Linked DNA regions of Daphnia pulex. The main gene of each other region encodes a partner of the protein of the gene in region 2 in a complex. Links are inferred from orthologs where the notes say so. Each region holds a gene or a part of one and is shown on either strand. Other genes may lie near its edges.

Region 1 (3,610 bases), on a different chromosome or scaffold from region 2:
AATAAAAATACACACAAAATAAAAAAAAAACTAAAAAGAAAATAAATTCACTTGAGTTTTAAATTTCATTTTAAATATAATAATAAATATATTTGTACATGTGAGTGTGTGTGTGTGTTTGTGTCTTAACATCATCATTTATATACTGCTGCGTGTCGTTCACATGAGAAGAAGAAAAGAAAAAAAGACGTGAAAATTTCTTTTTCTTTATTTACCAGCCCTCACCACCACGCCCGCCCATCTATGCTATTGCTGCTGCTACCTCTTGTCCCCAGTGTCTGCCCTCCCACATAAAATCAATGCTCCCCTCTACCCTCCATCCAAAGTATATTTGGCCATATCCTTATATCCCCCCTTTTTTTCATCGTGTTTTTTTGTTTTTTTCCTTTTTGTCGGATCCGTTTTTACTTTGTCGAGTTTCTCCTCCGCCGTCGATCCCAGATGTCACATTCACACTTTCAATATTTAAAAAAGAAGAAAAAATGTTTCATGATATAATATTGAATTTTTGCGACAGTTTCATCTGCTGAAGGAGAACACAACGGAGGAGATTGGATGCAGTAAATAAAACAAAACAAAAAACAAAAAAATGAATAAAAAAGAAACAATATATATAAGAAATATATTGGCATCGCCTCTCCTTACACTTTTTCGTTTCCTTCCTGTGTTGGTTCGTTCAATCGATGGGAAAGTTCAAATTTTTCTAACGTATCTCTATATACTGTTGAATCAATGGAATTGTGAAGAAACACACGCAAATTCTAATTCTAAAATCTCTGTCCGACCTTCCCTTCAATTCTTTCTTCCTCCAGCTATTATACATGTAACTGCTATAATCTTCTTATTTTCACCCACCACTTTTGCCATCACTGAAAAATGGGGGAGAAAAAAAAAACGAATGCAACTCAGCTCCTCTTCCTATCCCTCCCGAATAAAAAACAAAAAAAGTGTTAAATGTAATACCATCAGCCACATGCATGTTCTTATTCACCCACGATCTTTACTATATTTACCATCAGTCATTTTTTATTTCTTACAAAATGGCGAGCAAAAGAAAAATAAAATAAAAATACAATGCGGGAAATGTGTTACCAGAAATGTTCGTTGTTCGCGTTTAAATCATTTCATCGGATCGGCTAAATCACTTTGATCAAAGTAACGACCGACTAGACATATGAAAAGATTGAGCTGGGCCAACAGCGGGTCGTCGACCGAGGTTAATTGAACTCGGAATGTGCTACACAAACGTGCCAGTGTTCTGATGAGGCTACACATTTCGGGTTTCAAAGGTTTCTCCAATTTGGCAAGTAGAGCGTAGAGCCACTGACCCCTTTGCTGAGTAAAATTCGTCTCCTCCAGCCATTGTACGTTGTACTCTAGTAGAGTCTCCACCATAAACTGCATCAACAGAAATAATAGTGTGAATGCTGAGAAGTAGGTGACTTTCATATACCTGGTTGAGGGATAAAATGATGGGGAGCATAGGTGGTGTTCCACAAGGCTTTTCATCCTCAGGGTTACCATAGCACAACACTGACCATTCCTTTTCTTTGTCTCCAGCAGGCTACAATTGGAAGGGATAATTAAGACCAAACTCATTTATCTGGAAGCCATTGCAACAGCAAAGATCTTACCAGGGTTGTATTCGGTTTCATTTGAATTCCTTGTTTTTTCAGCCTGGCCAAGTGTTTTGCCATGCGGCTCCTGAGGCAGGAAAACTGAGAGACTTGGAATTGTTGCCATTCTTTTGAAGGTAGGAAAACTTCTGGTGCAGGTGGGCAGCCAGAGTCCTGAATTTACACAGAAATGACAGACTAGATCAATAAATTTGAATAAAATGAAACTTACCGTAGTGTATTTGACAGTTTGGGCTTTGAGCTTCTTTCCTTTCATATCGGCAACTACAACCGCTTCGCATTTTCGCGATTCGACTCTATCCAAATAAACCGGCAGCATGAATTTATAGTGATACAATTTATTAACACACAAGTTTTCATGACTTACATAACTCTTCTCAAGTATTCTTGGCCTGTACTGGGCGCAGACTCAAAATCGATATCCTCGTCTGTTTCCTCGACGTAAAGCGCTTTATGGAGGAACTCATCCATGCCTGGAATTTCACAAATGATTTCAGTTGTTTGTTTTGAAGTTTAAGTTGTCGTCTGCGGTTCTGCGCCACTATTTGCTCAGACGCAAGCGACATCTACATCACTTTAATTTGTCAGCTCTATTTACTTAAAAATTTAAATTATTGCACTTACCTGTCATCTCACGATTCACGGTTAAAAAACCACCAGCAATTGAAAAATATAATTCAAATTTGAAAGAATTCAAGATTAATTAATTTCATGATTGCGTTATTCATAATTGGCAATGTTGCTTTTAAGTCAAAACATTGAAACACGAGAATTTGTTTAAGGTTTTTAACAGATGTTTTCTCACGCATATATGTACCCCTCTTCTTTGCATAGGGCATCTTGACTGTTAACGTGGAGCAGTCACAAAGATAACCTCCCCTTGCTCCATAGCTCCATAGTCTGCCCATGTTATTTTATTTTGTCAAGCCTTATTATATATTGTAAGAATATGTTGTTTAAAGCTTGTTTTTTGTCCCTCTTGGTTTACTTTTGCTCTGCTACAAAAGCTGATCCTGCCAATTCGTACGATATTCTTTACAGCCAGGCAGTAGAAGCATATCTAAATGAGCAATGGGATGAGTGCGTCACGCGTATGAACGAAGCCATTGAAGATTATCATTTTTACAAAGATGCTGTGGTGGGCTGTCGATTGGAATGTCTCAAGGAATCTTTTGACAAACCGTTGGTGTCTCCACAGTTGGAAGATATGAAATTATGGGAAAAGATGATAAAGAAGACACTTTGCTTACTGAAATGCAAGAAAGATATTTTGAAGAACCGTGCAGAAATTGTTGACCGTAAAGTTGCAGGTTAGACAGTCTTATCTTCATCAAATATGTTTTCTGTTTTTAAAAATTTTTACATTTTAAACAGATGATTTTGACACTTTGAAACCTTATGACTATCTTCAGCTTTGCTACTTCAAGGTTAGTATCCTACATCACATTTTCTTTATTATTTACTTAAACTTTTGTGTTTGGATTATTTCAGACCAACGATAATATCAAGGCAGCTTCCTGTGCCTACACTTTCTTAACTATGAATTTAAACCATACTGTGATGAAAGAAAATCTTAGATTTTTCATCAATGAATTGAAAGTGGATCCCAACTATGTCATCAACCTTGAAGCTAAACCCTATGTTGAATTCTACATTCGTGGCAGTGAATCCTACAAAAAGAAGGACTATGACAGAACTACAACCAACATGGAGCTTTCCTTGGTAGAATACTTGCAAGCAGAAGAAGAATGCAGAGCTCATTGTGAGGGTCCCTTTGATCAAGGCTGGTTTCCTGATTTCATTTCCAGCATCTCAAGTATGTTTATACAACATCAAAGCAGGTTTCAGTGGTACCTATAAATATGGAGATTGATTATTTGTTTAGATCACTACACTTTCACATTGCGCTGTAAGCGAAAGTGTGCTAACAAACTGGGAAACTTGAATGGCGAGAAACATGACGATCTCCTTCC
Region 2 (5,129 bases):
GAGACTATGTCGAAGGCAAGTTTTAATGAACATCCGGAGAGAGGAGATAGATTTTTTCATCGTTAATAAATGTTCCGAGAGAGAGCTTAAGCACCTAAGCTTTTGCAGGTCAATCCATGCCATCTGAAGGAGCCGTCACGTCTTTCAAGCCGGCAGTACTTGTTCGTGCTTGTGATCCAAAATTAGCCCGAGCGCTATCAGATATTTTAAATGATGTGAATTAAATGTTTTCTGCCTATTTTTTGGTAGGTCAGGGGGATACCCCCCTTTTTGATATGACGTTTCTTTCAGTTGTCAATGATTGAACTCACTCGTTTTTTCACCCTCGATTGTACTTTTGCGGGCCTTTCCACAGTGTGATTAATTCGTAACAATAAATTGAGATGACCTGATACGGGCGTCTATTCTTTTCACAATCAAATTTTTCCTTTTTGTAGCAACAAACAAATTAACTATTGATAGACAGGATCACTCGGAACGCAGCGGACTAGAAAAATGACAAGAATGATTTGAAAAGGTAGGAATATCGTAATGGCAATCCCAATTGCGGTTATTTTGGCGAAGAGGGCATCGACCGACTTCATCATGCTCGAGACACAATCCTGTAAAGTGAGAATTAAGTTTAAACTAAATTTAATGTAACTGATTAATAATAATATTTAATTACTTCTTGGTATATATTCTTCAGATAGGAAGTGTCGCATCCTGATTTAACGCAACAGGAATCAGGAATGAATGAATATCCTGCTACGCTGTTCCAGTCCTTGTAGCTATCAACGCCACAACACTGGAACTAAACCAAGCGCTTTATCACGTCAGCCGACTAATTTCCAAGTAAACTAATTTACCATTTGTTGGGTGATATCCATTCCAGTTTTCCCACTTCCGTCGGGATCGAAATACATCATTTCGCGCATAGACTCTCTAATGTCTTGCTTGACTTTAGTACCGAAATCAGGACCGAACGCCACCAAAAGTCCAACCATGGCAATGAACAACAGTACGAGGAAACCTGCATACTGTCAAGTGTCAACGTCTCTTTAATACGATTCACTACGGATACAGATAGGGAGAAAGAAAATTATTTTTATTTTACTCACTATGTAGTAAAAAACAGAACTGCCGTCAATAGTGAAACAACAGTTAAGCGTCGTCATAACGATCAGTATGACTCCTATGACAACAGCAAGACTTCCGATTTTCAATTCAGCCGAGAGTATGGATGTTAGCCGAGTAGATTCTTCAGCTAGTCCAAATCCAAGTAAACACATTCCGAGAACCTACCATGTTTCGTAATAATTACTTGTGTCACTCATTGATTGCAATGAGTTTTCGTAAATAATAAAGAATTAAGCGTACCAGTAATAGAACATTTATGAACAAATGTAGAAATGCACAAGCGAAACTGCATCTTCCGGTCTCCATATTGCTCACTGAAACTCTGGAACATGACAAACAATATCAGCCTACATTCACACATCTATCGACGTTTATGAGCGTAAGCTATTCTTCGAAATAAGTGACGAATTCCTTTTGACGCGCACATTTCGAACAAGGTTCGTTGATTTCTGATTTGATGAGGAACAATTCGAGCTACCCTTGGAAGCGGCCAAGAATTGTTTTATTTTATGCAACACGAAGGATCGCTCATGATTCATAATAACGAATTTTTTCTGAGCGTTATTTAAAGAATTATTACAACTTCTTAACTTATCCCATCTCAAAAATAAATTATGTAATATCTGCTTTTAGTAAGGTTTACTGTTTAGCACCACCTTTGTCGTCTGTGCACGTTGTTTTGAAATTGTTCGCACATGGTGCGTATATGTAAGATTTAGTTTTCAACTTAAAGAAATTGTACAAGTTAAACTTGTAGGATGACAGAAAATAAAAAAGAGATTGTGATTCCTCCATCTCCAAATTGGTATCTGAGTGGTGCTTTTGAATGTCACAAAAAGTCTGGAGTATTAGTTTATGCTGCTTCGCGATGCCTCGTCTTTGTGAAATCTTGTAATGTAGGAGATAATTTCAGTTATCCTACAACTAATGTCATCCCGGACGCCCACAGGAATAAAATTACTTGTTAGTTTAGCATAAACTTCCTTAGGTTCACTTTTCAATTAATCGGTTTTGTTTTCATATGAAGGTGTGTCTTGGTATCAGCCCTCAGAAGAGAATAATTTGTTGCTGAGTAGTGCTGGAGAAGATGGTTCTATTTGTATATGGAAATATAATGATTTGAGTCTTGTATTTGAACAAAATGCACATCAGGTAATATTTGTAAAACATATTGTCAAGCTACAAATCTAATTTGACATCTTTTTCTAGGAGCAAAAAATTTCTTGTCTAAGTTGGTCTTCTCTACTGGATAAGAAAATCTTGGCATCATCAAGTGAAGATGGGACCATCATAATAACAGAGCTACTATTGAGCTATGAGAGTTGCAGCACTCGGAAGCTCAATTATGGGAAAATAAACCCTCTTATGCTGTCATTCAATCCCCACATTCCATGGCAGCTGGCCATTGGCTGTAAAGGTGGATTGCTGTACATATGTGATGTTAGAGGTAATGATTCAGTACTTGCTCTAACATTATCATGATTTTTCATCACACATATCATTGATTTCATTTAGAAAACCGTGGTATAATTCATAAACTGCGAGCTCACGAAGATGTAATAAGTTTAACCAGTTTTGCGTTTTCCCATGAAGTGTCGTCATTAATTCACAACAAATTCTTTTAGGATCTACACAACATCGTTTGGTGCCCTTTGAAAGGAAATGTATTTATTTGTGAAAAAGAAAAGAAGGAAACATTCTTGGCGACTTCGGGCCGAGATAAAACTATTAAAATCTGGGCCACTAACGAAGGAAAATGTGTCAGCCAATCAAAACTTCCTGGCAATACTGGAGTCCATCGCCCTCGGTCTACTCAGGATGATAAACGTGCGACCTGGGTAGCCTTACATTGGCTAAACGAAAAACATATTTTGAGCAGTGGACTCAGTGGTGAACTTATCTTGTGGGAGGTCAGAATTTTAAGTTAAATTTTTATTTGCATGAATTTAATCAATTTGTTTTGCTGTAGGTTGGGCCCAAATTGTCTTGGAAGATCGTTCACAAGCTTCACAGCCGTGGACTCTTCAATATTTCTTCATACATGACTGGAGAAAACCAGGAAATGATTTGGACTTCGGCGCAGGATCGTAATGTTATTCTTTGGCCCATAGTGGAAGGCCACGTACCAAAAGAAGTGTTAGGCATTCAAGAAATGGAGAATCCGCATCTTTGTATGCCAACCATGGGTGGTTTCATCTACGTCATGAATATCAATCCCATCGATTCATCCCAAATGGCTGTGGGATTGGGAGACTGCTCCATCAGACTATGGAATATGGCAGCTGCGAAACCTGACATGATGATGCTGTGGAATGGAATCAAAGGTGATGAATATATAATCTACTTATGCAGTATAGAGAGTAAAATTGCAATTCAATCATAACAGGCAAAGTGAGTGGATTAGCGTGGCATCCGACAATAGAGGGCCGGTTGGCATTTGGAACCGATGAAGGACGCGTAGGAATATTTGACACACTGTCGCTAACTAAACCACCTCAATTGAGTCGCACTTACCACAAGGGTACCGTATACAATTTATCCTGGGCTACCCTGCCGTCTAAGGAAGGGATATTCCTCTACTCTTGTGGTGGGAACAACATTATGGTTCACGATCCATCAGCATTAGATACGGAAGCAAAAAATTTCAATAATTTGATCGCAAGCAAAGGAGAAAAAAATCAAAAGTTCCCTTCGCGTACGGAATTTCAATGGAAAGTGGACTTTTCTCTTCTAGCCGTAGGCAACGAAGACGGTTCTGTGGAAATCTATTCAGGCGGCGATTTATCTTTGCTAACGATTATCGTTGCGCATAAAAAACTTATTCAATGCCTTAAATGGCATCCGCCATTCACTTTCCAAAGTGTGGAACCTTCCAAATTTGAAAACTGGTTGGCAGTGGCTTCAAACGATGTGAACATCAAAGGTACGTGTAAATTTTAACTATCTTGACCCCTTTTGTTTTATTGACTGACTGACGCCTTTTTACTTTTGTTCCAGTTTTTAGCGTCGTCGTTGCCAACAACGACGAACCCGCAACATCCACACTTGCGGCTACTCTAAGCGGTCATAAAGAACGTGTGGTGTCGGTGGCTTGGAGCCCACATGAAGATGGAAAGCTTCTTTCTGCCAGTTATGATGGAACCGCACAGGTAAATCATTCTTAGACTTTTTAATTATACCCTTTTATTTTTACTTGCATTTGCAGGTTTGGGACGTGATCAACAAAGAGCAAGTGGCTAATTTTGGTGGCCATACCGGAAGATTGCTTTGTTGCGAATGGAACGCATTAGAACAGGATACGGCCGTTACAGGAGGAGACGACATGACTATTCGAATGTGGAAAGTTAAAGAACAAGTCTACAAGACACCTGCCGAATCTATTGCAGTCAAAACGTTGAAGGAACGAAAGAAAATACCATACAAACCCCCTCAATCTTCTTCTTTTGTTGGTCGCCATGCAACTTCAAGTGGCACAACTAAAAAGAAGCCACCGAGTAAGCTGAAATCATTGTTCCCGGTTAGCGCCACTCTTGAAGCCCGTGGCCGAATCGAGGGTTTGAAAGACTGCAAAATATTGGCTACCCTGAAAGGAGTGACTCTAAAACATTCCGTCATTGGCGAAGATCCGGAATCCTTTACATGTCCTGCCTCTGATTTCGGAGATGCCGAGTTGGCTCATCTGGGCTTTTTTGCTAGCCGGGATTCCACAGTTCAAATGCTCCAGGAGGAGATCGACCATCATCAAGAAGGTTCTAATTCAGATCTAGCAGCTCATTTGAGAATCTGGCAAGGAGATGTCGAATCGATGCTACGAGAAGCTGTAAAGAAAAGGCAGCTTAATGATTGGCTTGTTAGTTTGGCTCCTCAAGTCTCTTTGGAGTAAGTTGGCCATTTTTTAAATCACAAGATGAGACTCGACGATCATTAATTGGAGTATTGATCCGATAGGTTTTGGAGGGAAATGGCCCATCTGTACGCCCAGCAGCTGATGGCAGAAGGAGATGTCAGGA

What was found. The genes of interacting proteins can lie anywhere in the genome.
Region 1: gem-associated protein 5-like (region 2) and gem-associated protein 2-like share a complex: the UniProt entries of both Homo sapiens proteins name them as parts of the SMN-Sm complex. The link is inferred for Daphnia pulex from reciprocal best matches to the Homo sapiens genes GEMIN5 and GEMIN2.

Annotation. Positions count from the first base shown.
Region 1 is NC_060025.1:2,087,011-2,090,620, reverse strand, and holds gem-associated protein 2-like, read right to left. Parts: upstream 2,185-3,610; 5' UTR 2,109-2,184; coding exon 2,005-2,108; intron 1,934-2,004; coding exon 1,849-1,933; intron 1,791-1,848; coding exon 1,635-1,790; intron 1,565-1,634; coding exon 1,454-1,564; intron 1,399-1,453; coding exon 1,120-1,398; 3' UTR 981-1,119; downstream 1-980. Other genes in the region: endoplasmic reticulum protein SC65-like, read left to right, coding at 2,587-2,947, 3,012-3,064, 3,129-3,453, 3,523-3,610. UniProt on the Homo sapiens protein: The SMN complex catalyzes the assembly of small nuclear ribonucleoproteins (snRNPs), the building blocks of the spliceosome, and thereby plays an important role in the splicing of cellular pre-mRNAs.
Region 2 is NC_060024.1:12,896,828-12,901,956, forward strand, and holds the start of gem-associated protein 5-like, read left to right. Parts: upstream 1-1,750; 5' UTR 1,751-1,877; coding exon 1,878-2,082; intron 2,083-2,146; coding exon 2,147-2,271; intron 2,272-2,328; coding exon 2,329-2,566; intron 2,567-2,634; coding exon 2,635-2,675; intron 2,676-2,744; coding exon 2,745-3,029; intron 3,030-3,088; coding exon 3,089-3,443; intron 3,444-3,505; coding exon 3,506-4,042; intron 4,043-4,116; coding exon 4,117-4,268; intron 4,269-4,324; coding exon 4,325-4,998; intron 4,999-5,067; coding exon 5,068-5,129. Other genes in the region: E3 SUMO-protein ligase RanBP2-like, read left to right, coding at 1-15, 109-224; CD63 antigen-like, read right to left, coding at 453-602, 668-793, 849-1,019, 1,101-1,280, 1,360-1,425. UniProt on the Homo sapiens protein: The SMN complex catalyzes the assembly of small nuclear ribonucleoproteins (snRNPs), the building blocks of the spliceosome, and thereby plays an important role in the splicing of cellular pre-mRNAs.